5 linked regions of the Ovis aries genome follow. The protein of the gene in region 3 interacts with the protein of the main gene of each other region in a biochemical or structural test. Links are inferred from orthologs where the notes say so. Each region holds a gene or a part of one and is shown on either strand. Other genes may lie near its edges. The genes, in order: EP300, STK4, histone H2B type 2-E, RNF20 and KAT2A.

Region 1 (5,758 bases), on a different chromosome or scaffold from region 3:
GAGCGATCCAAATACATTCTGACAGACTCTTATTCTGGCCTTTATACTACGTGGAAAATTCTACACCATACTCTACTTCATTTGTGTGACATTCTTTTACATCTCAAGAAGGTACTCAGCCTAGATTTAAGTACATTTTCTGAAAAGTCATATTTTAGGCTGCCATTCATATCTCTTTCCCTGTTATTATGAACATGAAAGAGCAGTATTTTCTTTTTTTTTTTTGGTTTCACTTCTATACTACACACTTGAGAACTTACATTTCCAAAAAAAGCACATCAAACATTTTCTTATCCATTACGCTTGTTCACCTGACTGTAATTTCAAACTTCCACACAAATTAGAAAGTAGCCACAGTAAAGTCCTACCTCTGGTTGGGTGGAGGGCAGTCAGAGCCATACTCCTGAACGTGCATACCAAAGAAGCACAAGTCAACACCATCGATTTCTTCGAAGGCAAAGAGGGCTTTGGTTCGATATGGAAAGGATTCTGCCATCTCTCCACTATCTACAAATCTATACAATTCATAGTGGAGGGAAGAAGTACAACATTTCATTCAGATTAGAATCATCAACAGTAACTATGTGTGAGCAACTGTGGATCCACAGATAAGAAAGGGGGAAATTACTACATACCTTGCTTTCATGCCTGGTTTGACTTCCACAGTTTTGTCAGAAGCATGAACTACTCGAACAGTGACCTCTCCTGACTCAGGGTGATTCTGTCGCCTCAGAAACTCATTCACACGATTCTCCAGAAATGTCCCAAGCCTGGTAGATGGCAGTCCTAGGATTTACAAGTGACAAGTTCAGGAGTAGCCAAGGTGCACATTTATTACTACCAGTCAAATTTCAATACCGTATCTCACTTCTGCTTTTTCAACACTAGCAAGATTATCACTGACTCAATGGCCATCAATGTGAGCAGACTCTGGAGATAGTGGAGTACAGGGGAGCCTGGCATGCTGCAGCCCAAGGGGTCGCAAAGAGATGGACTCAACTTAGCGACTAAACAACAACACAGAACAGCAAAAAACTGCACAGGCATCTATCTCCAGAACTAAAACTACTGCCACCCACCAAGTGAAAAGATCACATAGGGCTAAATGCAGCCCCTCCACAAAACTGAGGGAATCACTCACGGGATGGCAATGCTGGCCTCTGTCAGGAAATGTGTTGGAATAAGAAAAATACATCTGCGCTTTTTTACACATTATTAGGTATAAGTAACTTCACACCAAAAAGGATACTACAGTAGAACTTCAAGTACATCATGGAAAAATTATTTGTTGTTTAGTTTGGTTAAATATTTTAAATAATGTTGAAACAAAATAATTCTTTCTGGATGTTAATTTTTAATGATGTTTCAAGCAAAGTTTTCCCATAATTTACCTGTAAGAAAGGAACTTACTTTTAGCAGAAAATTTATTTTCTTTTCTAGTTCGTGCAGTCTTCTTTAAACAACCATCACAGACAAATCTAAAATGTAAACCGAGACTTTGTTTAACAACTTAAAGGAGCATTTCAAATAACGCACTCTACAGAATCTATCTTATGTATGCGTAAGGTTGAAAATAAACAAAAAAACAACCTGGGAGAAATACAACCAATATACAAAGAGCTTTCAGAAAACATTAAGAGAAAAAAGATAAATAGGTAAAAGATACAAAGAGAATATAAACTAGTTTACATGTGCAAAGATGAAGAATCACAGATTAAAGCAGAGATTTTATTTTTTAGTCAATCACATTAGCAGAAGTGTATATGTTACCAGTGGGACTATAAAAAGGGACATTTTGAAAGCAGCATGAATAGATTTTATATGTACATTCTCTTTGTTCCTGAAATTACATAAGGATGTGTGCATAAGTAGAATTTTGAGAAAAACTGGACAACACATAAGTACTCATCAACCAGCTGGCTGACCTTCAGTTGCAAGGATCACTGCAAGTCTCATGATCCTTGCCTACTCTGTAATTAAGAAGAGAAACCTATGCTTGGGGCTGGTGCATGGGGATGACCCACAGAGATGTTATGGGAGGGAGGTGGGAGGGGGGGTTCATGTTTGGGAACACATGTAAGAATTAAAGGTTTGAAAATTAAAAAAATAAAAAAGCAAAAAAAAAAAAAAAAAGAGAGAGAGAAACCTATCAAAAGACAAGCTTACCTACTACAATTTTCCTTAGTGTTTTTTTTTTTCTGGAAATTTTGTTATTTAGCCTCCTTTTCCCCCACGAACTCTAAACTAGCATCAAGTTAGTCCAGGAAAAAAGCAGAGGAGAGAGTAGAGCTCCCATCTTGATGAGAGTCACTTAATGCACAGACATCCCCTCCCCAACCTTTCCCTTGAACAGAGCTGGGAGCAGCCTCATTCCTGGAGAGAGGTAGCCATGGCAGTAAACACTTGGCAGTGTCACAATGGACAAAAATCCACTTATTTCCGTGAAAGGCACTGATGATATGCAGCCTGGGTAGATATGTGGAGAATACTCAAGAAACAAAACATGAGGCCCAAGCGTATCTAGTTCACTGAAGTCTGTATCTCATCATTTTCACGTATCTCTGCCTTTCAGTGGGGAACACCCATGTTACCTGTTATCCAACTGCCCAAAAGACTTTAAATAATTCAAGTCTAACCAGGGCCACTATTCAGTATACAATCTCACTGTAATGTTCTCTCAGAGGCAGAAACAAAGTCGTCGTTTTGGTGCTCTCCATTACTGGTATCATCTAGTCTGTCCTCTGGGATATTAGCAACACTCAACATCTGTCAAGTTTAGTTGACACAACTAACACTTTCAGGGCTTTCCTGTGGCTCGGTCAGTAGAGTCTGCCTGCAATGTGGGAGAGCCGTGTGCTATCCCTGGGTTGGGAAGATATTCTGGAGAAGGAAATGGCAACCCACTCCAGTATCCTTGCCTGGAAAACCCCATGGACACGGGAGCCTAGTGGGCTACAGTCCGTGGGGTCACAGAGAGTTGGACATGACCGAGTGATTAACACTTAGTTGTGTCTAACATTTCCTTTCTAGTTTCTAGGTGCTACAGATTTCCTGTTACCTCTATTGATAAATCCTCTATATTTACTTTTGATGCACAATAACCACCAAAGAATTTAGAAATAGTGAACCAGCAGAGAGAAGTGTCTCTACATGGACTAACACATTGTAGTAAGAGAAGGCCTGTTCTGGATTCCAGGTTGATTACTGTTCCAAAACTGAATTTTAATGACCTTTTCCCAATCCAGAGAATAATTCTAAGAGGCAGTAATTTTGACAATAAAATACAGTCATTGCAAAGATGACAAAAACTTGCTAAAGTCTGGGGAAAATACTGATGCCTCACCCCGATGGCCAGATGATCTCATGATGAAGGACACAGATCTGATGCATCTTTCTCCCACACTCTGTACACTCAACAAACCTGCAAAGGCAAAACGTCGAGTTAAATCCAAAACTTGAACCAAATCAAAAGTGCCGGTATTTCTCGTTTTCTGACAATTCAAAAGATGGCCAAGATCATGTCCAAAGAACTGAAGTAACAGTGTTTAAAAGCTCTTTAGTGTAACAGGTAGAGTGAATCTCAAACGCAGTTAAATTCAGTCATTTTATGGAGTAAAAAGTGATAGAAAAGACGACTGCTGTTTAAACCTCCAAGTCTGACACGATCCTGTCCATTCCAGGAATGTCTAGTACCAGTACACTTCTGTACCTCTGAAAGGTGTCACAATAAAGGAGGCGATTATTAAACGGTTGGAAAACACACAGGACAAGGCTGGAATAACGGCACTGAGCAGAGGCAGCCTGGCACCTCACAAGAGCACCAAAACACTAGGGAGGGTTAGTGAAATGCAAATGTAAACCATAGCCTCGATTTTTAACATTTCTACCTTGTCTCCTAGATGTAGGCTACAGACTTAGCCCAAGAATAATAGCATCACCACACTGGCTGCACAAACCAAAAGAATGAAAGCAAGACGGAAAATGAAAGTGTACTACTCAAGGGGAACTACTTACAGTTCAGGATCCAGAGTATCATTTTTTCTCTTTGAAAATTGTTCTTTATTTATTGTACTAAGGAAAGAAGAGGATACAATAAGAAAAAGCAACACAGGAAGATTAGCAAGTTGACTATTGTTCTAATAACCAAATGATAAAAACCCCCACCCTGTTAAGATTATTTAAATCTAAGACTCTATCAAGGATACAGCTGGTACATTCTTAGCTCCCGCAAAACGCACGTTTACATGCCTATGTTTTGGGAAATGACTTTATAGTACCTCTGTTCCCACTGACAGGAGAACCCAGTAAGATCTAAAAGCATGAATTTGTACTTTTTTCTTTTCCTTTTAAAATCTTGCCTACTACTCTTAGTGTTAGGTATTTAAGCCTTTGACTAGTTTACTGTTTCTAGACAGCTCAGTCTAGCAGTATGAAAGACAGTGTGTACAGAGGGAGCTAAACCACTATTTAAAAAAAAAAAAAGGCATTTTTTAGGACAGTCCAGTCAAGCAACTTTTTATATTAATAAAAAATTTTAGCATTAAGAATACATAGTTCAGGTTACTGACAGGATTAGTAAAAAAAAAAAAAGGGGGGGGGTTTCATTAAAAAATTTTCACATGGCCTCCTATCCTGAAATCTAGCCTCCTACTCTGTTCATAGTCTCACAAACACAGGAGGCCACCTACAACAAACTTTTGACTACTGTGATTCTTCCTCATAAAAATGAAGCGATTTCCCCATTGAAACTGTTTTCTCCTAGTTACAGGCTCCAGATTCATTGCTACGTGCCCTAAGGTATTGCTATCCGAAAGTGTGTTTGGAAGACTATCAGCCTGGATGGACCTGGGAACTTGTCAGTAACGCACTCTCTCAGGCTCACTGCCAACTGCAGAACTGCAAGAGGGGTTCCTACACACTTCAAAGTCAGAGACCTGCTGTCCTATGGCACAGAACTTGTGGTAAGGGTGCCTCCCTTTTTTGCATCAGGGAAACCGACCTAGACCTGACTTCCCTGGTTAGCCAAGGGTTAGAAAATCTCAAGGCTCAAGGGGACCCGAACCAGTACCAGAGCCCACCATTTTATATGTCAGTGGTGACTGAAGGAAAAGGACAACTTCAGAATCCAATTTGAAGACACCAAGTTTTTCTCAGAAGCCCTGTTTTTACTAGTAACATAACAATTCTGAATTGCTATGGGAAATGTTCTGAACTGTTTGTTTATTGTAGGTTAAATCGGAAGAGAAGCTGAAGAATATTTAAAGGATACCAAATAGTTCTTTCTTCCTAAAAGCATGAAAAATTGACAGCTTGAATCTTATAGAGATTAGAGGCAGTCTAGGCAATGTTTAAAAAATTTTCTTGGCATTTACCGAACCATAAGAGCTTGTGGATTGCAGAAGTCCAACCAAGTCTCTTTATAATAATTCATTCTCACAACCTCCTAAATCCTTAGTGATACTATGATACACATGAGTCTAAGGATTTTGGTATTGTTAACTTCTATGAGAAGGCTGTATGGTGGTTATTTGTTCAATTCTCCTCAAACTCAAAACAATTAATGATGAAGTTACCTTGCACTCCACACTTTCACTTTTTGGGAGAAGGTATTTCCTTATAGAAGGAATCTATGACCATCCAGTACTGTTGTACCCCCCCCAAATCAGTACCGAGAGAACTTCCGCTATGATCAAAATGTTCTCCATCTATGCTGACCAAAATGGCAGCCACGAGCCATAAATGTCTACTGAGCAACTGA
Region 2 (5,758 bases), on a different chromosome or scaffold from region 3:
TTTAAAAAAAAATAAAACTCTTTGCAATAGGCAGCTTCAATTATGTTATTTGAATCTAAAAATAAAGCCAGTAAATCTTCCCATCCTTCTCCATTTCTGTCCCTCAAAAAAGAGAGGTGCTTACCTTTGGGCATGTGCATAGCTTAAAAAAAAACAAACAAAACTGTTAAGTCTATTAACAGAAGGACTGCTTAATAAGAGAAGAGGAGGGGCTGAGTTGGGTGGTATGGAAAAGACTCTGGAGCCTCTGAGGAAGGCAGGGGTCAAGGTCTTGCAACAGTGCTGTGATGAGGTGTTCTGGGGGTGGGGAAAGTCAGGAAAATGCTTAATGCAGAAACACTGAAGGAGTGTCAATGGAGACACGTGTGGGCTTTTCACACTCCAGAACTGGATGGAGGTCAGGGAGCACAGAGCCTCTAGAAATCACACATGCAAATCCCTACCCAGGCCAGGCAGGAAGAAGACAACAAATGAATCAGGCTGAGTGTTAGTGATATGAGTTGAAAATACTCTGCTTTCCTCTTAAGGCTAGTATAAGAAAAACAGAGAAAACACGGCAATACATTATGACTGATACGGGCGAACAGGGAGCCGCGGAGGGCACGCAAAGCGCATGCCCTGTATAAAGGAGAGGACTGTTTCGCAGCTCCAATTAATGTTGTTATGTTAAAACGTGAGCACTCGGGGACTTTCCTGGTGGTCCAGTGAATTAGACTCTGTGCTTCCAGCGCAGGGGGTGTGGGTTCATTCCCTTGTTAGGGAACTAATATTCCACATGCTGTGGAACACGGTCAAAAATTTAAAAATAAATTAAAATTTTTTAATATGTGAGTGCTCGAATTACTAAAAACATACACTGCACAAGTCAAACCAATCAAGTCCTGCCAGAGAGATATCAATACACAGCTTCTAGAATGAACAGGGGTGGATTACACTTGACTTAATTAGTGATTACAACTAGTGGAAGTATATCATCTGAAGTCTACACTGACACTTATCAATTATTTACAATTAATTCATTTACTGTTTGGTACCTAACCAAGAAACTCATTTAACTCAGTTTCTCATTATCACCAGTAACTGACCATCCCACTGGTTTTCTGTCCATTTCCTTACCCTCATTGGATGGATATCAGCATATGGAGGCTTTCCTTCAGCCATTTCTATGGCTGTTATTCCCAATGACCAGATGTCTGCTACACAGTTGTACCCAATTTCCTGGATCACTTCTGGAGCCATCCAAAAAGGTGTTCCTATCACTGTATTTCGCTTGGCCATGGTATCCTGAAACAGAAAGGAGAGAGATCAACATTAACCACTGAAACTGTTGAGAAAGAGTCCCTTCTAACAATAGTGATTGTCATGGGCTTGAAATACATACACAAACCGTACTCAAACATGAGCAAGTCAGTCAGTCACAAAACAAATTCAAATGACATTGAAACATAAAAGATTCTCAATCAATTATTAAAACACAGAAATAACTATCAACCAGTTAATGAAACACCAAAATGAGACTGACAAAAATTAAAAAGATTACTAACAACTCATATGGATAATAGCATAGAAAAAATCAGGTATCAAAATACAATGATAAAGGAACACAAGTTGGTACAATGTTTTAGTAGGCAATTCAGCAATATTTACTAACTTTAAATGTCCATATCCTTTGATTGAAATCTATTTCTAGAAATGTATCCTATGTATAAGTATCCCAAGATAGATGCACAAGTATTGTAAAAATAATAATAATAGAAAGGCTGGAAAAGGGGCATCTGTCTATTTATTTGTAAAACTATACACTTGAATTCCTAACTTATACTTTCAGCAAAATAAGTTCAAATAGGTTAAAATTTTAAATGTAAAGACCAAAATCCAAAAAGCACTCAAGGAAAGTACAGATGAATAGTTATATAAGGTTGGAGCAGAAAAGGACTTTTAAAACATGACATCATGAAGATGGGAGTATTTTTCAAATTGATTTATGATTCAACACAACCTCAACACAATTCAATTCAATCCCAACCAAAATTTAAATGAAGTCCCACTGTTTATTCTTGTTTTTATTGCTTGTGCGTTTAGTATCATATCCAAAAAATCATTGCCAAGACCAATGTCAAGGAGCTTTTCCCCTATGTTTTCTTCTAGGAGTTTTCGGGTTTCAGACCTTACATTTATTTTAATCCATTTTGAGTTAATTTTTGTGAGTGGTGTAAGAAACAGGTCGAGTTTTACTCTTCTGCATGTGAGTATCAGATTTTCCCAAGAACATTTATTAGAGACTGTCTTTTCCTCATGGAGCACTCTTAGCTCCCTTGTCAAATATTAACTGACTGGATAAGCATGGGTTTATTTCTGGGTTCCTGATTCCATTCCATTGGTCTGTGTGTGTATTTTTATGCCAATACTATACTGTGTTGATCACTTTAGCTTTGTAACATAGTTTGAAATCAGGAAGTATGAAGCCTCCAGCTTTGTTCTTCTTTCTCAGGACTGGTTTGGATATATGGGGCCTTTTCTAGCTCCATATGAATTTCAAGACTGTTATTTTCTATTTCTGTGAAAACCGTCAATTACTAAAAAACAACTGATATTTTAAATTTATAATATCTTTTACACAGCACCAGAAGAATTTTTCTTTTCAATAAAGATTGTAATTTAGATAATACTGTTTGGTATTGTTTACTTATGTGTTAACAACAAAATCTTTTGAAGGGCCCACAAATCATGATATGGAATAAGTTCCTGAGGTTGTTGGTTTTTTTTTAATAACATCGAAGCAATGTTTAATTGTTTTCCATTTAAATTTTTTAAAAATAAAAAACCTACATGATAAAGCTCTAAACAAACTATATATGGACGTAGCTTTCTATCACCCAAGAAACCTGATATATGACATTGCTGCAAATTTTTGTATACATCTATCTAGAACTCTGTTTTCTACACATATTTCACACATCTCATATATTTTACAAAATCAGATAATTTTAGCCTTCCTGTTTTGAAAGCATAATGTTTTTCATTGCCATGCACTACTGAGGTAGGAGGAAAATCAAGAGCCTGTGTTTTGGAACCAAATGAGGAGAACGCTCTCAGTAAAGCAGCTGCCAACTGCTACCTAGAGGCTGAATGAGATGACGTTATGTCTTATCCAAGGAAAGCCGATTAGATTTAATTTTTATTCCTTTTGTAAATACGATGACGTAGACCAAAAGAATTTAAACGTCTACTCTATCATTTCTTGTTTTAGCTTTTATTTTTTTCAAGCTAAACAGAGTTAAACTATGGGACCTGAGCCCCAGGAAAGGATCGAAAATAACCTACCAGCTCATTTGTAACCTATTGGCACATTCTTTAATTTTTTTAAACACAATTATATTAAATATTACATTTTAAAATAAATAAATAAAAAGAACAGTTCTCAAGAAAGACCTGAAAGTTACCAACGCAAGTAACACTTTCACTTACTGTAAGTTGACCTGCTACCCCAAAATCTGCAAGTTTTGCGTGACCTTCTGTATTGAGCAAAATATTTCCTGCTTTGATATCTCGGTGTATTTTTCTCATAAAATGAAGATACTCCAGTCCCTTAAGTGTTGACTGTAATATTGTAGCTATTTCATCTTCTGTTAACTGAAAATATGAGAAATTAAAATACTATTAGTTTACATCAGCACATTTGAAAAAGGAGAAAAAAATTTCGATCCAAACTCTTCTCCTAGAATATAAATAAGATCTCATTCAATGTGTAAAATAGCATTTGACAGCTTATAGTACCATTGCTATGCTGACCACTCCCAAAGTTATATTTCCAAGCCAGATCTCTCCCCAAATATCAGATTTATGTATCTTCCCACACCACACCTCCAGCTGAATACCTAACAAGCATCATAAGCACAACATGGCAAAATCAAATTCTTTATTTTTACCACCACCCTACCCCTTTCCATACCACCCACCTACTCTATTCTTCCCACGGTCTTCTCTCTCTCAGTAAAAGGCCATTTAATTCTTCTAGCTGTTCCGGTCAAAAATCTTGAAGTCATCCTTGACTCTTCTCTATCTTCAAACTATATGCAATTATATCCTCTGGGTTCACCCTGATTCAAGCCACCAACATGCCTCGCCTGAATTGTTCTAATAATCTCCTAACTTGTCTGGCTGCTTCTGCCCTTAACCTTATATAATGTATATTCCACACAGCAGCCATAACGAACCTTTTAAAATGTAAGTCAGGGACTTCCCTGGTGGTTCAGTCCATAAGACTCTGCTCTCCCAACACAGGGAGCCTGGGTTCGATCCCTGGTCAGGGAACTAGATCACACATGTTGCAACTGAGATTCTGCTAAATATCTGCTCAAAATCCTTCCTAAGTCACTCAGAATGAGAGCCAGTTCTCACGAAGGCCTCACCTTATCTGGCTCCCAGCTACCTTCATCTTCTACCACTTTCTACCTCTTCATCCTGTTTCAGCCATGTAGGCTTCCCTGCTGTTCCTCAAAAACTCTAAACACACTCCCACTTCTGGGGCCCATTTATCTGTTCTCTCTGCTTGCAGTGCCCTTTAACCAGATTTCTGGATGAGATGGTTCCTTATGTCACTGTCTCTGCTCAAACATTACCTCATTAGGAACAGAGAGGCTTTCGCTAGCTCCTTCCACTCCTAGATCATTCTCTATCCCCTTATCCTACTTATAGCTTAATGCAACATTATCACCATCTCACATACTATACATACTCTGTATACTTATTCATGTGACATCTTCCCTATTGCACACGTGAACTCCATTTTAAAATGCCTTTGATTAGGTTACTACTGAATTCCACCACCAAGAGAGTCTCCTGGCACATAGCAGGTCCTGAAAAAAATATCTGTTAAATGATGATGAATAAATGTAAGCAAAAATGCAGGAGACTGACACAGAACACCTGATCAGTCCAATGCTAACTCTGTGCTGATCCTAGCCCAGTTCTAAACAAACTCAATCAACAGACTCTGAATCAGTCCCCCTCATGACAAACAAGTCACATTTAGAAGAGAATAAGCAGTGGTGCAAAAAATACGTGATTTGGGTTTAGAAAGATCTAGTCTTTAGCCTTGGCTCTACTTCTGCATTATGACTTAAGCAAGTTATCTAGTAATGTCTCTGAATCTCAGTTTCTCAATCTAGAAAAATAGGCAAATCACCTTTTTTCAAGAGTGTCACAAAAATCAAACGATACATTAAGGCATGGAAGCATCCATGGGGTTTAATAACTAGAAAATGCACTTCTACAAGAGCAGGGACATTGTTCTACTGACTACTGGATCCCAAAGGCCTAGATCAGTGTTCTAGAAATACTTACCTAATGAATAAACAAAGAGTTTACGCAACTGAACCGCAACTAGAAATCATGACTCCTAGCTTTTCTCCCAGCCATCACAGTAACAGCAAACTATCTTTCACAGAGAGGAATCTGATGAGGAGGATTTAGTGGAAGTTAACCTGTGAACACTTGGGTAGAAGGAGAAAACCCAACCAACTCTAAACACTCAGAATTCATTGCTGAGCTTTCCTGGTGGCTCAGTGGTGGAAAATCTGCCCGCCAATGCACGAGACACAGGATCAATTCCTGATCCAGAAGATCCCACATGCCATGGGGCAACCAAGTCCACCCTCCACAACTACTGAGCCTGTGCTCTAGAGCATGAGAGCCGAAACCACCACAGCCCCTGCGCCTTAGAGCCCGTGCTCCGCAACAAGAAAAGCTACCGCAA
Region 3 (6,335 bases):
CTCTGATAATGTCTGGAGTCCATTTGGATTCATGAAACCCCTGCAATCAACTCCAGGACCCCTTATCCAAAAGCAGAGTTGAATAACTGATCAGACCATCAGTACCATTATCAGCAGAATCAAGGCTTGGACAGAAAAATACAATATTCCATAATTACAATGAAATAAAGCTGAAATGCAACCGTCCTTGCATTTGAGGGTACAGAGGTGGACAATGTTAGCTGCATGCCCAGTGGACCACTCACTCTCAACCTCATTTTTAAAGAAATATTAACATTCTCTACTTTTTTTTCTCTCTCTGGGATATTCCTTGGATCAGGGATCGAACCTGTGTCTTCTGCACTGGCAGGCGGATTCTTTACCAGAGCCACCAGGGAAGCCCCAACCTTGTCTATTTTATAGGGTCTCCTGAACAGCAAATGAAACTGTGAATGTAAATGAAAAGTTCATCTCAATGGGGAACAAATGATCAGGATGGAAGGAGGGTGTCATAAATGAAGAAAGGAAAAGGATCTTCCAGTGAGCAATGTTCTAAATTTAATGAAAATCCAAAAGATTAGACCAAACTGAAAAGCATAAAGGAAGGACTTAAAACTGCCACCTCCTCCTTAGCACACACGCACAAATACAGCCCTCCTCCCAGCTGTTGCCCTGAGGTGACCATAGCCAACTTGGGAAAGGAGCTCCAAAACATTTCCATTTTCATGTCTTCACATACATCTAACGGAAATGAACCGCACCCATCCATCCATCCATGAAGGCTATTTTTAAAAGAAGAGGGACAGAAAAATGAATTCAATACTAATTCAGTAAGTACTTAACCGTCCACTGTGTGCCAAGCACTGGTTGGCGGGGACGATATAGAGGAAAACCAAACCAATAAAGTTTCCGTTAAGGTCTTGAGGAAAATGGTAAACAAGAAAAAAAAAAAAAAACCAACTATTAATAGCAAAACAATTTCTGACAGCTGCTAGGAAGAAAATAAAATAGTGAGGGACCAGAGGCAGGAAGGAGAGACACAACTTCCCGAAGGTGTCTGAGAGGTGACGTTTGAGACCAGACTAAAATGACTAGTGCCTTCCGGTGACTTGACGCCGAAATATTCCGAGAAAAGAGAATTAAAAGCAAAAATGATCCACAAACCAAGAAATAACAGGAATTTCACAGCGCCAAAGTGAGCGGCGCAAACCAGAACCTATGAATTCCGGAGCGGCGGGAGAGTTTGAATATTCATGTCCAATCAGGGAAAGGCTGAGACCAGGCAGCGCGGGCTCAGTATGAAGTATCCCGAACCGCTGGTGTCCACAGGAAGCCACATCGCAAGGGCCTAATTCGTGATCCGGCACCCACGCAGCTGCCAAACTCGCAATTCTTCAGGGCTGTGATGCAGTGTTCGAAAGACCCGGGCTTGGTCGTGTCCTGGGGTCCTTTCTTAAATGTGGATAGCTGAAATCACTCACTTCGTTTTGGAACACCGGTGACACGTACCCAACAGAGCCACCAGGACACAAGTCTAGGAGCAGTCTCAGTATCCTAATTTAGAACTGACTCATACGAAAGCTAAGCAGCAGTGAGGGTTAAGACGCGCCCTAGATTCAAAAGCAAAGCCAGTCACGCGCCAGGAATCTCAAGTCATAAGGGCTTAAAAAGCTACGTGTGTCATCTTCTATTACTTTTAGCCAACTAGAGTAACTTACTTTGTGAGGAACTGAGGAGAAACAAGTGAACAAGGCTCTTTTCTGGTGATTAGGTGGGTGGCTCTGAAAAGAGCCTTTGGAAAATCAAGCGGCTTTGCGACTCGTGCGAGCGCCGCGTCCCAGCAGGGACTCACTTGGAGCTGGTGTACTTGGTGACCGCCTTGGTGCCCTCGGACACGGCATGCTTGGCCAGCTCGCCAGGCAGCAGCAGGCGCACGGCCGTCTGGATCTCCCGAGACGTGATGGTTGAGCGCTTGTTGTAATGCGCCAAGCGCGACGCTTCGCCCGCGATGCGCTCGAAGATGTCGTTGACAAATGAGTTCATGATGCCCATGGCCTTGGACGAAATACCGGTGTCTGGGTGCACCTGCTTCAGCACCTTGTACACGTAGATGGAATAGCTCTCCTTGCGGCTGCGCTTGCGCTTCTTGCCGTCTTTCTTTTGGGCTTTGGTGACGGCTTTCTTGGAGCCCTTCTTGGGCGCGGGAGCGGATTTTGCCGGCTCAGGCATTGTGAAGCAACGCCGTTTGGCAAAAAAAGAGGTATGAGAATGGGCGGGCCTGATCCATTTATAACCACCGTATGCAAATTAAGGCTCCAAAAGTCTTACATTCCCATTGGTCCGTGGAGAGACCTTACGTTATCAGTAATAGCTACAGAATAACACCGACTCTTAACCTTATTGGCTGTTTCAGGAGCCAATTTGGGACCAATGAAAAGCTCGTTCCTGACCCCACCCCTCAGAAAACTTATAAAGGCTTTCCAATTGCTGATCTTTCTTAAACATTTGCCGAGGGGCTTTGATCTTTAAGGGTACTACTGTTATCTTTAGTCATGTCTGGTCGCGGAAAGCAGGGAGGCAAGGCCCGGGCGAAGGCCAAGTCGCGTTCGTCCCGTGCAGGCTTGCAGTTCCCGGTAGGGCGAGTGCATCGCCTGCTGCGCAAAGGCAACTACGCTGAGCGGGTGGGGGCCGGCGCGCCCGTCTACATGGCGGCGGTTCTGGAGTATCTGACGGCCGAGATCCTGGAGCTTGCCGGCAACGCGGCGCGAGACAACAAAAAGACGCGCATCATTCCTCGTCACCTGCAGCTGGCCATCCGCAACGACGAAGAGCTGAACAAGCTGTTAGGCAAGGTTACCATCGCGCAAGGCGGCGTTTTGCCCAACATCCAGGCCGTTTTATTACCAAAGAAAACCGAAAGCCATAAAGCCAAAAGCAAATAAAGCCTTACAAAGTAAACCAAAGAACAAAGGCTCTTTTTAGAGCCACCCAAGTTTTCAAAAAAAGAGCTAATGCGCTATTTTGTGATCAGCCCTTTATTTTGACACTTTGGTGGTGGCTCTTAAAAGAGCCTTTGGGGTGAGTGGGGATGGTATCAAGCCTCTTAATTACTTATTCTTGCCAGGCTTGTGACTCTCCGTTTTTTTGGGCAATAAGACTGCCTGGATATTGGGTAAGACACCGCCCTGGGCAATAGTGACACCCCCGAGTAACTTGTTGAGCTCTTCATCATTTCTCACGGCCAGTTGCAAATGGCGAGGGATGATGCGCGTCTTCTTGTTGTCTCGGGCGGCGTTGCCCGCCAGCTCCAGGATTTCCGCGGTCAGGTACTCCAGCACTGCCGCCAAGTACACCGGTGCGCCGGCCCCCACCCTTTCGGCGTAGTTCCCTTTGCGCAGCAGGCGGTGCACTCGCCCTACAGGGAACTGAAGGCCAGCGCGGGATGAGCGCGACTTGGCCTTGGCCCGAGCTTTGCCTCCCTGCTTTCCGCGGCCTGACATTACTGCTAAAACTGCAGTTACAGCTTCTTTTTCAAGGAGAACGATATGGCAAGGGTAACCAATTTGATGTAATTTATAAGAGCTACCGGGAGGGGTGAAGGGAAGTGGTTTGATTGGCTAAAAGCGGAGTCCGATCGAACAGCCAATAGGAAAGCGAAGAGCAGACTCTTCGTTTGCATCTTGGGCTACGAGGAAATGACGGCTTCTATAAGTACCTACCAATCGTTGTGAGCCATATTAAAGCCCTTTATTTGCATGCCAGGGTTTTTAAAGTGAAGGCTTTCAAACAAAACGCTCTTCTGTTTTGCTTTATTTACTGAGCGGCAATTTTTTCCTAGGTTACGGGTGGTAGGTTTTTTCCGGTTTCCCAAAAAGGATTTTAAAGGGCTGCAGAGAGCCTTTAGCAGATGCAGTTACTCCCACTCAAGGGCCTTGGAACCTTAAATTACTAAGTTCCTCCTTTTCTGGCTCGTCAAAGCCAGACTACCTTAAAAAATACAAAACTACTGAGGCCTCTTCTTTTCTTTCAATTTAGTTGTTGCCTGCGGTGTGGCTTCGCCCCATCCCCACCCGTCTGTTCCTCAGACTCCGGTTTAATCGAGGGCATTTCCTTCTCAGAGGATCTTCCCGACCCAGAGATCGAATCCGGGGTCTCCAGCATTGCAGGCAGGTGGATTCCTTACGGTCTGAGCCACCAGGGAAGCCCAGAATAGTATGTCATCCTCCTCTTGACCTCTAGGAGGCGTCCCAAACCGCTTTCAACTTGAAGGCGTCTTTCCCTTGGCATTCAAAATGTCGCCCTCCGTCTTTCCTCATTCTGCTGCTTTTCCCCCTGTCCGTGTTTAAATCCCAGTGTTAAGCTCGGCTCTGCCTCCGTATTCGCCCTTTCCGCACACTTCATTCTTCACTCTTCCCGAAGTCGTACCCAATTCAGTGCTTTCATCTAGTATTTGCTGCAGAAGCTCAGGCCTGTATACCTGTTAACTGGATACTTCAACCTGTCTGTCCCTATAACTCGACCTATCCAAAAGCAAACTCATCCAGTCACCTGCCACCACCACCACCCCCCCCCAACTCCCCCCCCCCCCCCCCCCCCCCACCCCCCCCCCCCCCCCCCCCCCCCCCCCCCCCCCCCCCCCCCCCCCGCCAGCTCCCTTCTCTTTGTTCTTTCCCTGAATTGCTCCAACAGTCTGCCCGGTACCTGAGCTAACATCTACAGTTTCCTGCACCTTACAGCATATATTCATGAATATTCCTGAGTATTCATTGGAGGGACTGATGTTGAAGCTGAAAGTCTAATACTTCGGCCGCCTGATGCAAAGAACTGACTCATTGGAAAAGACCCTGATGCTGGGAAAGGTTGAAGGCGGGAGGAGAAAGGGACTGCAGAGGATGAGATGGTTGGATGGTATCACCGACTCAATGGACATGAGTTTGAGTAAACTCCAGGAGCTGGCGATGGACAGGGAGGCCTGGCATGCTACAGTCCATGGGGTCGCGAAGAGTCGGACACGACTGAGCGACTTCACTTTCACTTTTCACTTTCATGCATTGGAGAAGGAAATGGCAACCCACTCTAGTATTCTGGCCTGGAGAATCCCAGGGACGAGGGAGCCTGGTGGGCTGCCGTCTATGGGGTCGATTTAGCAGGTCGATTTAATACCTAATACAATGTAAATGTCATGTAAATAGTTGTAAATAAAATGTAAAACTCTGTACATAGTTGCCAAAGCAGGGAAAATTCTAGTTTTGCTTTTTGAAACTTTCTGGATTTTTTTTTTTTTTTTCAAATATCTTCCACCCACAGTTGGTTGAATCGTGAGATTCAGAACCGGTGGATACCGAAGGCCAACTGAAACTGTTTCACAAATAAGGAAACCAAGGCTCAGAGGAATTTAAGCACTTGCTGAAGGTCACACAGCCACTTACAAACACATGATTAGAACCAAGGTCAGTCTCGCTCAAAGTCTGTGCTCTTCATCCCTCCAAGCCCATTGCTTCACTAAGGAGATTACGGGCTTTATGAAGTCATTATGCCCAGCCTTGCTTCTTCCCTCTGTAACAGGGAAGAAGCTGGAGAAATAGTTTAGAAAAGAAGATGCTAATTCTCTAAGAGTATAGTTTTATTTGTTTATGAAAAAAAATGTTTATTAGCAGATGGGGAAACAGTGGAAACAGTGTCAGACTTTAATTTTTTGGGCTCCAAAATCACTGCAGATGGTGACTGCAGCCATGAAATTAAAAGATGCTTACTCCTTGGAAGGAAAGTTATGACCAACCTAGATAGCATATTGAAAAGCAGAGACATTACTTTGCCAACAAAGGTCCGTCTAGTCAAGGCTATGGTTTTCCTGTGGTCATGTATGGATGTGAGAGTTGGACTGTGAAGAAAGCTGAGCGCCAAAGAATTGATGCTTTTGAACTGTGGTGTTGGAGAAGACTCTTGAGAGTCCCTTGGACTGCAAGGAGATCCAACCAGTCCATTCTAAAGGAGATCGGTCCTGGGTGTTCTTTGGAAGGAATGATGCTAAAGCTGAAAGTCCAGTACTTTGGCCACCTCATGCAAAGAGTTGACTCATTGGAAAAGACTCTGATGCTGGGAGGGATTGGGGGCAGGAGGAGAAGGGGACGACAGAGGATGACATGGCTGGATGGCATCACCGACTAGATGGACATGAGTTTGGTGGCTCAGACAGTAAAGCGTCTGCCAGTTCAATTCCTGGGTCGGGAAGATCCCCTGGAGAAGGAAATGGCAATCCACTCCAGCACTCTTGTCTGGAAAATCCCATGGACGGAGGAGCCTGATAGGCTACAGTCCATGGGGTCGCAAACAGTCGGACACGACTGAGCGACTTC
Region 4 (6,536 bases), on a different chromosome or scaffold from region 3:
CGTGACTAGTCACACTGTTTTATAACCTTCTCCTCCCTTATTCTATATGTGCCTGCTAAAAACCCCAACCTTGGTAGTGTCCAATTCTCCACCTATATCCATGAAGCTGAATGTGACTAACAAAATAAATAAATAAATAAAGCACCATGCTGACTGGCCTTAGTTTAAACTCAAGTGGGTTCTCAGTGCTGTCCAGCAACTCTACCCCATCTCTCTAGTCCATTCTCTCTTCAAGATGACTACTTCGTACCTTCTCCTGTCTCTTCACACCTCCAAAACTTTCTCCCCCATCCTCACTCTCAGATGAGTCTTGCTTCTGATTTCACTGAAAAAAAATAGAAGCAATCAGAAAACATGTCCACATCTATTACCCACAAGCCCAACTACTGACCTACTTATATTTGAACCCACATCCCTTGTGTTCCTCTCCTAGTTAAGGCGCCATCCCTGCCTTGTGTGTTATATTACATTCTCTCTTCTGTTGAAGAGAGAGAACAGACCCAGTAACTGCTTTCTCTCTCTCCTACATCATCAAGTTTATGCTTAGTTGCTCAGTTGTGTTCGACTCTTTGTGATCCCATGAACTGTAGCCCACCAGGCTCCTCTGTCCATGGGGATTCTCCAGGCAGGAATACTGGAATAGGCAGCCATGCTCTCCTCCAGGATCAAATTTATCCTATCAAATCATTCCACCAATAAATAAAAATGCCATATTTCCTACTTTAAAAACACAAAAAACAAAAACTTCCCTCAACCCCCGATTTCCCTTGGGCTGAGGCCCCATTTTCCTGGTTCTACTTTACATCAACACTCCTCCAAAGCAACATCTCTACCTCTTTCCCCTAATTTTCTCCTCACACATTCTCTTAAGCTCACTGTAATCAGGCTGCCGTTGCCACCATTCCACCAATGCGGTGCTTGTCGAGTCTCCAGTGTAATTTCTATTACTAATCTAAAGTCTCAGTCCTCCGCTTTCTCAACCCATCAGGAGCCCCTGATCAACTCCTCCTTGAAACTCTTTCTCCCTTTGGCCTCTGGGATCCCGCCCTCCCTCTTCTCCTCCTACCTCAGCGGCCCCTCTTTGGTCAGCCTCTTCTCATCTCCTTGACATGAAGTGTTGCTGCTCCAGGGCCCGGTTCTCAGACTTCTTTATCTATGCTTGTCCCTTACAGGAAAGCCTATAGTCTCATGGATTTAAATTCCACCTACAATGCTTCAGAAATGTTCAGCTTTAGCCGAGACCTCTCCACAGGCTGCAGATCACCTCATCCAACTACCTGTCCACTCATAGGTCTAATAAATACTTCAGACTTTTAGTCCAATATCAAACTTATGACTGCTCCCCCACAGCTCCCCCAAATCTGCTCCTTTCATACACCTCCCTAGCTCAGCTTGTGAAAACTCCATACTTCTAAAATCCTGGGCTCATCTTGCCTCCTTTCTTTCATACCCTTCATCCAATCCACGAACAAATCTTGTTGACACTATCTTCACAATGGCCTGAGCCACTGTGATCCTTCATCAAGATTATTGCAACAGTCTTCTACATATAGCAGACACTTTTTCATCCTATGCCAGACTTCAGCACAGCTCTGGTGGACAGCTCCAGTCACACCACCAGTGTTCCCACTTGAAGCATACCATGCAGTCTCAAAGTTTTTTGTTCCACAATCTCAGCTGGTTTACCACAGAAACCTTGAAGTGCAGAAGAGAAGTTATTGCCTTCAAGGGCAACTGTCAACCAGCTGGGGCAGGATCAGTGGATACCTGCCCCAGCTCCCCACCCTTAGAGAGGAAGAATAGGAGGGAGGAGAAAGACAAGGAATGAGGGAACAATTTTGTTAACTGAACTCCTTCTTATAAACTTAGCTCCCTTACAATCTTTTTTCAAAACCTAAGTCAGAGCATGTTACTTCCCTGCTTAAAACCTTCCAGTGGCTCCTTACTGCCTTCTGGATAAAGTCCAAACTGGGATGCGTGTTTTGTGCATCCCTTCACATATGTAGTTATCTCTGGGAAGAGCCCATTTTTCACTCTATCATAACAGTCTGTTCTTTTCTCAGTGCCAACCTACAAACTGAAGTCCAGGAGCTGTCCTTAGTATAAAGCACAGTGTCTGGCAAATAACAGATGCTCAACAAATATTTATGTTTATTGAATGAAAAAATGTCCCTCGGATGCATGATGTGAGACAGTGCCAGGACAAAATCACCTGCTGGCAACAGGAGGCTGATGAATCCCAGACAGCAAACCCAGAAACAATGCTTCATCAATAATTTACTCTTGAATGTTCCTATTACTCTCTGATCCTCAATTTCAAAAAGTAGATATGGTTTTGTAGGCTATACAAATGTAAAGCATTTTTACACCATATCCCTATGGTTAAGTTCCAAAATACAGACTCCTTACCTATTACAGTGAGTTTATTATGGTGTCTAATGGACATATAACATTGCTATAAGTTTTTGGTGTATAATTGTCTAAAAAAATTGACAACTCCATAACAATAAGGAAGATATCTATTTTACTCACCATTATAGACACAATATCTGGCCCAATAAAAACTATTAATAGAGCACATATACTGAGTACTTACCATGTTAAAAAGTAACGTTCCTTAACAGGAACCCTTTCATTTCCTCCTCTCAAAACCCCAATGAGGTAGATACTATGATTACATTTTACAGACAAGGAAATAAGAAGGCACTCTCTCAATGATTGATTTTGCTACACTGCCTCTTAGTACCTGGCCCCTTAGTTCCCAATGAATGAAAAATCAGTGTATAGCTTCCCACTGCTAAATAACTACAATCAATGCTGAATCTGGCACCAGACTCTTCAAAGAATATGAATATACTTTTAAAAACAAAGATCAAGTGTCATTATATTTCTTTTTCAGAAATGAGCAACACATCATTTCATCTACTTTTGGCTGTTTTATCTCCCTCTTCTTTTCAAATCAACTTCCCTTACTCCAAAAGGCTTCCATAATTATTACTTCTAGGTTGCAACTGACAGAAGAAAAGCACACTCTCATAGCATTATTTCCACATACCGTTGAAGAGACACCCCCAAGTTTAATTGTTTCCACTGTGGTCCCTGAATCTTCAACAGCTGTCTTCTTCTCTGGAGGCACAGATGTGCCAGGCTCTCCAGCTGCTCTTTTATTTCCAATTCCTGACATCGTGGCACAAGATGATAACTGTTTTCCTGGAGAGAAAAAAAATCTTAGGTAAGATAGGCAAGGAGAGCAACTAGAGTCGATCTATGATGTAAAAACTAGCAACTTTTCCTGTCAATCCTTTAACCCGGGTCCATTAATTTCACACTTAGCAACCTGATCCTCAGGTTCCTCTTGGAAAGAGAAAAGTAAATTGTGAAGTAAGAGTCGCAGCTGAATTTACAGAACTACAAAGTTCTAAATAGGATGCTACTAAAATACAAGATAACAGGCAAAGGATGAAGAAACTTAGAAAATTTTCAGGCATCTCATTTCCTGAAATGCCAACATCTGAAAGTATAGTTTAATTTAGAAATACAGAAAATCAGTTAATTATACAGTGTTGGGAGAATCAGAGAGCTGGAAGAGACCTGGGAGATGTCTACTTTATTAACACTGAACAAGCCATATATCATCTCTGAGCCTCAATTTCCTAAAGCAGAAATAACAACAGTATATGCTTCCTATGCTCCTCATAAGGAATGAATAAGTACAGAAAGACTTTAGCATAAGGCCGAACACGAAGCATGCACTCAGCAATGCTAACTCTCCTTTTTATATTTGCAGTTTCCCTATTTCTAAACGCTCTCCCCACGAATTTGTGTCACCCTAGAGAAGCTAGATCTGCGTGTGAATCCCAGTACTAACTCTTAGAGAGCCGTGCTGCCTTGGAAAGGAATTTTTGATATGCACAATGCAAGTGACCACATACTGTCTCTGCCCTACTCGCCTCCCAAGGTTTCGGAGCTCAAAAGAAGCGGAATAGATGCTAAAGCACTTTGCTACTGAAGGTATCAGCCCTGCCATCACCGAGACGACACACAACTCCGCTTCCAACTGAAGCTCCAGGAGAAGGATATCGGTGGCAGCAACCTGAGTGGGACCTCGCCTGGAGAGAGAGGAGGAGGACAATGGCCTCAATCCGACTCCAGAGGGGCCAAGGACCCCAGCCTTCGGAGAGGCCAATTACAGGCCCGGGAGAGGGAGGCCTTGGAGCGGAAGAGGGTGGGGATACCCGTTGCCCGCTGAGTCCCGTCCCGCCCTTGGCCGAGATCTAACCTGAGTTCTTCCAACTTGCGCCGCCGGGGAGTGGAACGCGGGGCAGTTATTCACCAAGGTCCGCGTAGCCCTCCCACCTCTCACCCCTAACCCACAAGTGAAGATCCAGCGAAGCTTCCGGGAGGCGGGGCCAAGGGGAGGAAGAAGGGAAAGAAAGGAGGAAGTAGCTTCAATCTGGCAGCGAGAAGGACAAGACTCAACCGGGCGGAAGTGACACGCATCGAGGGCGCCCCGCTTCCGGAAGTAAGTGCGGTCTAGCAGCTCTTGGGCACCCGGCGGCCGCTTTGTAGAGGCCTCGCTGACGTCAGAGGAAACGTCCCAGATTTTTTTCCCGTTTGTTAACCATTGCTACTGCGACCTGTTTTTCTTTCTTTCTTTTTTTTTTTTACTGTGAATAGTGAAAATTGCTCAGTCGTGTTCGACCCTTTGTGACCCCATGAACTATACAGTCCATGGAATTCTCCAGGCCAAAATACTGGAGTGGATAGCCGTTCCCTTCTCCAGGACATCGAACCAGAGTCTCCCGCACTGCAGGCGGATTCTTTACCAGCTGAGCCACCAGGGAAGCCCTTAAGCGTCCCCCCTCCTTTTTTTTTTAACTGAGTACCTTTTGTTTACAGTGCCTATTGTTCTGTTACCTATTATTGGTTCTGCTCAGACTGGCGATTGGCTAATGGCGCCGTCAATCTCCAGGGGAAAGGACTAAGTTTCAGACACCTCGGAAAAATTACTGTGAGCCCCTTTTTGCTGAAATGAAAAGTTCTGGAGAAAACCCAAGAGATTCGGTGAGTTTAGAAGGTTGTGGCTATTTCAGGGAAATGTATGACAGCTCTGTCTACACATTAAAATCACTTGGGGAGTTTTGGTCCCTCTTGTGTAGGGCCTGGGCATCCACATTTTATAAAAAAAAAAAAATTTTCCCAACCCTCCCCCACCCCCACTGGATTCTAATGTGCAAACGGGATGGACAGTTACTATCTTTGTGTATCTTTTCAACAAGAAATTGACCAGGGAATAGATAAACATAAATCAATAAGTTGATTCTGATCTTAACACTCGTCTATTTTAAGCTAATTAAGCATTGATTTTTTAGTTAATAACAAACTGCTATTTTCCACTCAATTAAACAATGTGTTTTAATGATAGGAAGGTAATCAAACTAATTTATTGATGAAAAGCTGTATGCCTCACAGAGGTATAAAAAACTACCCAGTAAAGTCAGAATGTAAACAGTGGGAAACAAGCGTTCATGTTTCCTGATACTAGAACACTTTGCCCAGCGGTAAAGAGGCAACTGGCTCCAAATGAACTCTTTGGGTGAAGCAGAAGCCTGAGAACCATGTTTGGGGACCTGTCAGGGAAAGCATTGTATGAAATGACTCTCTCTGACCTCCTTCCTTTGACTTCTTTGCTCTTGGCAAATCTTGCATGCACAGAACCACTGAATGGCATGCACTGATTCTAGCCCAAAGTTTGTAAAGTTGAAAGTCACAGGCTGTACTTGGCCGACAAGTATGCTTTGTTTATTTTGGACATTATTGACTGCCTTTTAAGATATTTTAGGACTTCTCTGGTGGACCAGTGGTTAAGACTCCATGCTTCCAATGCAGGCTATATGGCGTTCGATCCCTAATCAGGGGACTAAGTTCCCATATGTCACATGGCATGGCCAAAAAATATATAGATAGATAGATTACCAACTTCTCTTGAAAATGTTGAAGGTCTGGCAACACTAGATTTATATTTTTGCATGGGCACATGGCCTAGAGCTGAGTGGTTATTTTATTCCTGTCTGCTGTGATCCCCACTGTTGGTTACTGATTGCCTGACACTAGTTGAATTTCATTTGAGTGTTATCAGTGTGTGTTGTATTGTGCTAAATCAATTCCTGGTCTAAGAGAATGTTGTTGGTTGCCTACTCAGCATCCACTTCCCCTCTCTCACCTGAATAGAACACAACCAGGATTTTATTCATATGATTATTTATATCCAGTTAGACCCCTTCATTCCATATGTCTTGAAGGAAGCTGACTTCACTTCCCTCTTCAAGGATTGTCTTAATTCAAATAGTAAGTCCCATTCCCAAACCCAAAGTTCTACTCTTAACAGTGGATAGTTTAATCGGGCTGAATTGCTTGGAGTAATAGGACTGAAGCAGTTTACTTATCTTCTGAATTTATTGTGAGGCCTGAAACTGTTGGAGCTTTCTTGTTACCAGGCTTGATAATGAAATCAACACAGAGATGGGAAAACTAGA
Region 5 (5,429 bases), on a different chromosome or scaffold from region 3:
AGGCTGGGGGCGCACAAGGGAAGGTTATGACCTGAGTTTGCACAGCCCTTCTTCCCATAAGCTTTGTTTCGCGCAGTCCTTACAGCTCATCTGAGAATCCCTCCCTCCCTTCACAGCCTGCACCTGGGCCCCAGAGAACGGGCCGGGCAGGGACAATTTACCTCCATCTTGCAGATTAGTAAACTAAGGCTCAGCTGGGGCAAGGGACCTGCCCCAAATCCTGCACTCTAGCCAGATCTGTTTCTACTGGGGTGTATGCTGGGGTTTGGTGAATGGGGAATTCCTCATTCTATAAAGTGTTCCTTTACTACAACAGGAGCCTTGGGGTCCCCCAGGCAGGGTGCCTCGGGCGTACCCTCTCCCCCTGCCCACAACCCTCACCATTGAGTTCCACATGCTCCTCCTCTTCCAGGCTGGCCAGTGCCTTCTGCAGCAGCTCAGCTGTGCAGATGAGCAGGTCGTGCCTCCGGGCCATGTGGCCAAAGCCAGCTCGTGGCCCCATGTCCCCGCTCAGGGTTGTGATGGTCCAGCGTCTGTCCAGCATGCGGCTGAACTCCTCATAATGCTGGGTCACCAAGTGCACCTGGAGGTGGAGAATGAGACGGGAGAGGAAGCTAGATGAGGGTCTGGGGGATGGGGGTGGAGCCAGGTGAACCCCTCAGCACATAGCTGGCTTCTGGAATGGGTGAAGAGACAGGGAAACTTAGAGATGGTCACAGCCACTTTGGAGTTCTGGAGGCTCCTGAGAGGCTACCTGAGGAATTGAGAAGCCACAGTGTGGGGAGGGCAGGACACTCACCCTGTTGACCAATACAACCACCTTGGCTCCGTCCACGGTCTCTAAATGCCTCTTGGCCACATAAGCAGCTGCCCTGGTCTTCCCAGAGCCTGTGGGCAGCCATATGATGATATTCTTCCCCTCCAGGGCGGGCATGATCACCTCCCACTGGTAGGGTCGCAGCTCCATCCTGGAAATGGCAGGGAGCTCAGACCCAAAGACCCTCCTGGCTCCCTCCCAGGCCCAGCCCCTGTCAGAGCCACTCCCCCTTCCTGGCCAGCTCCATCTGGTTGGGGGAGCTCCTTGTGCAGGGCGTGGGGTGGAGGTGGGTGGGAACATCTCCCCCGCTCGAGGGAGAAGGGGCAGGGCAACATTGGGACCTACCGGGAACCTGAGCTGGGTGGGAGCAGACCACGCCAGCCCCAGATATGCTGACAGGGTCTGTCTCGCCTGCAGCCTTGCCGGCTCAGCCCAAATGCTGCTGGGCTCTGCAGAGAAGGAAATCGAAACTGAAACTGAGGGGAGGAGCCAGCCCAGCAGAGATCAATCTAGGAATCTCCCTTCCAGGCCCTTCAGAAAAACAAAGCCTGTGCTTCTGGGGGCCGGGGGCCGGGGGGTGGTGCAGGGTGAGGGTGGGCAGTGAGGGGAAGAGAAATGCTGCTGACCCAATGGGACAGCAGCCTGGGTCCTGCTCAGCCCCTCCCCCAGGAGCAGCCAGCAGGGAGAAGGCGGGGGCGGGGCGCGGGGGGTGGGGGACAGGAACGGGAGGGGCCAGAGGCTTGCTGGGAAGGGCAGCCCCAGCTTGCAGGGGATATTGGTGGAACAGGGTCAGCAGGGGATTTTACTGAGGAAACCACCACACAAGACAAAACAAAACCAAAACTTTATTGTTCCCTTGGAGGGATTAATGCCAGGAAATGAATGGTCCCCATGCCCCCTACCCCTAGGGGACAAACAGAGCAGTGCCGGGTGAGGCATGGCCCCTTCAGTCCAGCTTGGGCTTCCAAGCTCTGATGCCCCTACTCAAGCTAAAATTGGGGATCCTGCCCTTGAGGAACCAGTGATCTGAGCAAGGCCCAGGATTCCAAAGCTGTATCGCTTGTGGGGAGTGTGTGAGTGTGTGTGTGGAGAGTGGGGATCAGATCAGGAAGAGGGGCGGGGCGGGGGGGGGGACCAGGGCGGGGTAGCGTTTATCCTCTGGCCACTAGCCATGCTTAGAGGCTCCCAGAGCAGGGAGACCCATTCCCAAGCTCAGACATGATGAAAGGTGGGACAGAGCTGCAGCCTTGGGGATGCCTCAGGGCCCAGAAAGGGCTGTAGGATCAGGGGCTGGAGGGTCCCAGGCTGGAGTGTCTCAGACAGAGGGGGACCTGGGCACAGGGGCACCCCAGGGATGAGATCAGAACTGGAGGAGGAGACATTCCACGTTGAGGCCGAGGCCCAAGGCTGGACTACTTGTCAATGAGCCCGCCCTCCTTGAGCTTGAAGTAGAAGAACTTCTCCAGGGCGCTGGCGCACCGGCAGTACTCGCTGTCCGGGGGGTTGTACTCGCGGCAGTTGGCAATGACCCGCTGCAGGTCGGCCACGAAGAGCTTCCGGGTCACATAGTAGCGGCTGCGCAGCCTCTCTGTCATGGTCTTCAGGTCTGGGCAGCGAGAGAGGAAAGGGCATACCTTTGAGAGGCTGCCCGGCCATGGAGGGCCGGAGCTGGGGCAGGCGTGGGAGGAAGGGGTTAGAAGGAAGGGTCCTCACCGATGGGGAAGCGGATGACCTCGTAGTAGTCTGGGGCCTCCGACTTCTTCACGGGCTCCATGAAAGGCCAGGCACTGGGGTGGGACTGCAGAGGACAGTCAAGCTGGATCCAGATCCACTGTGCCCCTGCCCAACTCGGGACTGCCACCCCCTCACCCTTGGTCAGAAAGCCACAGCCGTTGGCACAGGGACCCCCAGAAGAGAGCCTGGTCTCCCCACCTTGATCTGGGCCAGCAGGTTTTTGAGGGTTGTGTAGAGCTGGTCAGGGTCCTTCAACTCCTTCCTGGAGCGAGAGAGGCCGCGTCTGAGGCTCCTGGGCCCTCTGCCGCCCTTGCCCCACACTGTCCACTCCCTCCACACAACACTCACCCTTTCTCCTTCCCCAGCGGCTTCCAGCCTGTCTCTCCTGCAAGATGGGAGAACACCCTTAAGAATGCCTATCCACACCCCGAGCAGCACACCCCCTCCAGTGCCAAGACCCTTGCTCACGAATGCCAGGGACGCTCTCCACAGGGATCTGGCGCACACCCTCCTTGAAGCAGCTGAGCCCGGGATAGACCTTTCGGATCTGGGCCTGTTTGCGCTCAATCAGCTTCTTGATGATCTGAGCGAAGGAAGGGTCTGAGAGGCCAACCCAGCTCCAGCAACCAGACTCTCCGGCCGCAGGCAGGGAGGGCTCCCCCACTTGCCCCTCGAGGCAGCGCAAGAACCAAGACCCTGGCCAGCCCCACTTCATGTGTGCACAGCAGGTATATACGCATCTCTATACCCACACACGTGTTCACTCAAGCGCATGTTCACGAGAGCCCCATGGAGACACGCACGTGAGCATACGCACCTCCTTCTGCTTCTTGATGATGTGGGACAGCTCTGTGTAGGGGATTCGAGGGTTCAGCTCACACTCCATCAGTGTCGCACCCTCGTAGTCCTTGATGTAGCCCAAGTAGCGGCTCTTGGGCACCTTGATGTCCTTGGAGAAGCCCTAGGGAGTGGAGAGTTACCACCAACCCATCAGCAAGGCTCTTCCAGCTTGAATTTGTCCCTGGAACATTTCCAGGCCGGCAGCCCTTCCGGATTCACCCCCGCCCCCTGCGCCCCACCCTGAGAACTTCCCAGCTCTCCCAGCTGCCTCTTCCCTGGGGCAGCAGCAGGAGGGAGGAAGACAGGCATGAAGGACTTCCCTACAGGTGCTGGATGGAACAGGGGACATGAAGCCCACCCGCACCGGGGGCGAGACAGAATGACCCCGGGCCCCAGTCAGTGGGCAGACAGAGGTGAGAGTCACCTGCTTCTTGAAGTAGCCGATGGCGTACTCGTCGGCGTAGGTGAGGAAGTAGAGGATGCTGTGCTTGATGTGATACTCCTTCAGGTGGTTCATCAGGTGAGTGCCGTAGCCCTGCAGGGGAGGGGCAGAGCTCATCAGGCGGGAGGAGGCGGGCCTACAGCTAGAGCGGCCTCAGGAGGGGGGGAGAGGAGGGCGGGGACAGGACGGAGCCGACTGGAAAGGAGGTGGGGACAGCCAGGGGATCCGAGTCAGGCAGGAGGAAAGGCGACCGGCAGAGGAAGGGGAGCTTATAGGCAGAAAAGCGAAGGATGCTGGGTTTCTAAGCGCTTACTCCAGGCCAGGTGCGACGCTTGGTTCTTTACAGAGCAATCCTCAAGTTAACCCATGAAACAGCTATCATTACCTCCATCTTACAGAAGAAAAAACTGAAACTCAGCTATGTCAGGAAATATGTCCAGGTCAGGTGACCAGCCATGGCAGGGAGAGCCTGGATCTAAACCCAACCGGGAAGCTGTGGTCCACAGGCCACGGTTCCCAGTCCCTGGGCCTCAGAACTGGAGGAAAGGGGAGAGGGGATCACAAGGGCCCCCCTCATCATGACATCTGAACCCCAAAGAGACACCCTGTCATCCACAAACATTAGGACCGGAGGCACCACGCAGATCTGAGTTATGGAAAATGGGACAATCATGGAATCTTCTGGTGGTCCAGTGGTTAGGATACCTTGCTTTCACTGCCAAGGGTGTGGGTTTGATTCTAGTTGGGGAACTAAGACCTGGCAAGCCTCACAGTGCAGCCAAAAAATAAAAATAAAAAATAAAGTAGCCACACCATTTTAAAAAACAGATAAGACAAACCGGGGACCCTACTAGTCGGCCTGTTGTGACAGGATAGAAGACAGGACGACCACCCAGAGCGGGACTGTTGTAAAAATTATCAACTCTCCGATGCATGTACATGCTCTTGTGATGAAGGAAACACAGATCCCTTTAAAACTGTTACTATAAATCTGCAGAGTTCTCATCACAAAGGAAAAAGCATTTTTTCTCTGCTCCTTTCATTTTGTACCTATATAAGATGATAGATGTTCGCTGTGGTTGTTTCATGATGTATATAAGTCGAAGCGTCAGGCTGTACATCCTAAACTTACACAGTCCTACATGTCAGTTGCATCTCCATAAAACTAGCGGAAAACAAGTGTTACTGATTCTTGGGCACCCTGTGTCGACAGGTGTTTTCTTAATTCAGTTATCAAATTACAACTGCCACCTTGTGGGGATGTGAGGAAGTGTCGGGCCATTAAAAGAAGGCTTGGGGGCAGCTGTGTCACTACTGTGCTGCTCTGACCTGGTCCAGACTCGGAAGCAGGGGGTGGGATGAAGCTGGGACCAGGAGCTCCCTGACCTCTACCCACACTGGGGGCGAGCACAGACTCACCTTGACCTGCTCATTGGAGGTGACAGCACAGAAGACGATCTCCGTGAAGCCCTGGGTGGGAAACATGCGGAAGCAAATCCCACCAATGACCCGCCCATCCTTGATCAAGGCCAGAGTCTTGTGCTTCCTGAGGGGAGAGAGCTCAGGTCACAGGCCTTACCCGTCCCCTGAATGTTC

What was found.
Region 1: of the proteins of histone H2B type 2-E (region 3) and EP300, one has a biochemical effect on the other in vitro, tested with the Homo sapiens proteins (4 studies listed by BioGRID, with this or other methods). The link is inferred for Ovis aries from reciprocal best matches to the Homo sapiens genes H2BC21 and EP300.
Region 2: of the proteins of histone H2B type 2-E (region 3) and STK4, one has a biochemical effect on the other in vitro, tested with the Homo sapiens proteins (2 studies listed by BioGRID). The link is inferred for Ovis aries from reciprocal best matches to the Homo sapiens genes H2BC21 and STK4.
Region 4: of the proteins of histone H2B type 2-E (region 3) and RNF20, one has a biochemical effect on the other in vitro, tested with the Homo sapiens proteins (3 studies listed by BioGRID). The link is inferred for Ovis aries from reciprocal best matches to the Homo sapiens genes H2BC21 and RNF20.
Region 5: of the proteins of histone H2B type 2-E (region 3) and KAT2A, one has a biochemical effect on the other in vitro, tested with the Homo sapiens proteins (2 studies listed by BioGRID). The link is inferred for Ovis aries from reciprocal best matches to the Homo sapiens genes H2BC21 and KAT2A.

The regions. Positions count from the first base shown.
Region 1 is NC_056056.1:218,157,569-218,163,326, reverse strand, and holds part of EP300 (histone acetyltransferase p300), read right to left. Parts: intron 4,072-5,758; coding exon 4,015-4,071; intron 3,422-4,014; coding exon 3,344-3,421; intron 1,479-3,343; coding exon 1,411-1,478; intron 787-1,410; coding exon 636-786; intron 516-635; coding exon 369-515; intron 1-368. UniProt on the Homo sapiens protein: Functions as a histone acetyltransferase and regulates transcription via chromatin remodeling. Acetylates all four core histones in nucleosomes. Histone acetylation gives an epigenetic tag for transcriptional activation.
Region 2 is NC_056066.1:73,332,413-73,338,170, reverse strand, and holds part of STK4 (serine/threonine-protein kinase 4), read right to left. Parts: intron 3,634-5,758; coding exon 3,469-3,633; intron 1,285-3,468; coding exon 1,117-1,284; intron 1-1,116. UniProt on the Homo sapiens protein: Stress-activated, pro-apoptotic kinase which, following caspase-cleavage, enters the nucleus and induces chromatin condensation followed by internucleosomal DNA fragmentation.
Region 3 is NC_056054.1:99,991,322-99,997,656, forward strand, and holds the start of histone H2B type 2-E, read right to left. Parts: upstream 3,527-6,335; 5' UTR 3,480-3,526; coding exon of another isoform or gene 3,087-3,479; 5' UTR 2,922-3,086; coding exon of another isoform or gene 2,532-2,921; 5' UTR 2,209-2,531; coding exon 1,828-2,208; 3' UTR 1-1,827. Other genes in the region: histone H2A type 2-C, read left to right, coding at 2,532-2,921; histone H2A type 2-B, read right to left, coding at 3,087-3,479. UniProt on the Homo sapiens protein: Core component of nucleosome. Nucleosomes wrap and compact DNA into chromatin, limiting DNA accessibility to the cellular machineries which require DNA as a template.
Region 4 is NC_056055.1:21,571,267-21,577,802, forward strand, and holds the start of RNF20 (E3 ubiquitin-protein ligase BRE1A), read right to left. Parts: upstream 4,399-6,536; 5' UTR 4,280-4,398; intron 3,211-4,279; exon of another isoform or gene 3,203-3,210; 5' UTR 3,185-3,202; coding exon 3,056-3,184; intron 326-3,055; exon of another isoform or gene 251-325; intron 1-250. UniProt on the Homo sapiens protein: Component of the RNF20/40 E3 ubiquitin-protein ligase complex that mediates monoubiquitination of 'Lys-120' of histone H2B (H2BK120ub1).
Region 5 is NC_056064.1:41,977,022-41,982,450, forward strand, and holds the end of KAT2A (histone acetyltransferase KAT2A), read right to left. Parts: intron 5,380-5,429; coding exon 5,253-5,379; intron 3,927-5,252; coding exon 3,816-3,926; intron 3,513-3,815; coding exon 3,369-3,512; intron 3,135-3,368; coding exon 3,020-3,134; intron 2,937-3,019; coding exon 2,900-2,936; intron 2,814-2,899; coding exon 2,750-2,813; intron 2,616-2,749; coding exon 2,531-2,615; intron 2,424-2,530; coding exon 2,230-2,423; 3' UTR 1,647-2,229; downstream 1-1,646. Other genes in the region: ATP-dependent RNA helicase DHX58, read right to left, coding at 1-3, 382-583, 800-967. UniProt on the Homo sapiens protein: Protein lysine acyltransferase that can act as a acetyltransferase, glutaryltransferase, succinyltransferase or malonyltransferase, depending on the context.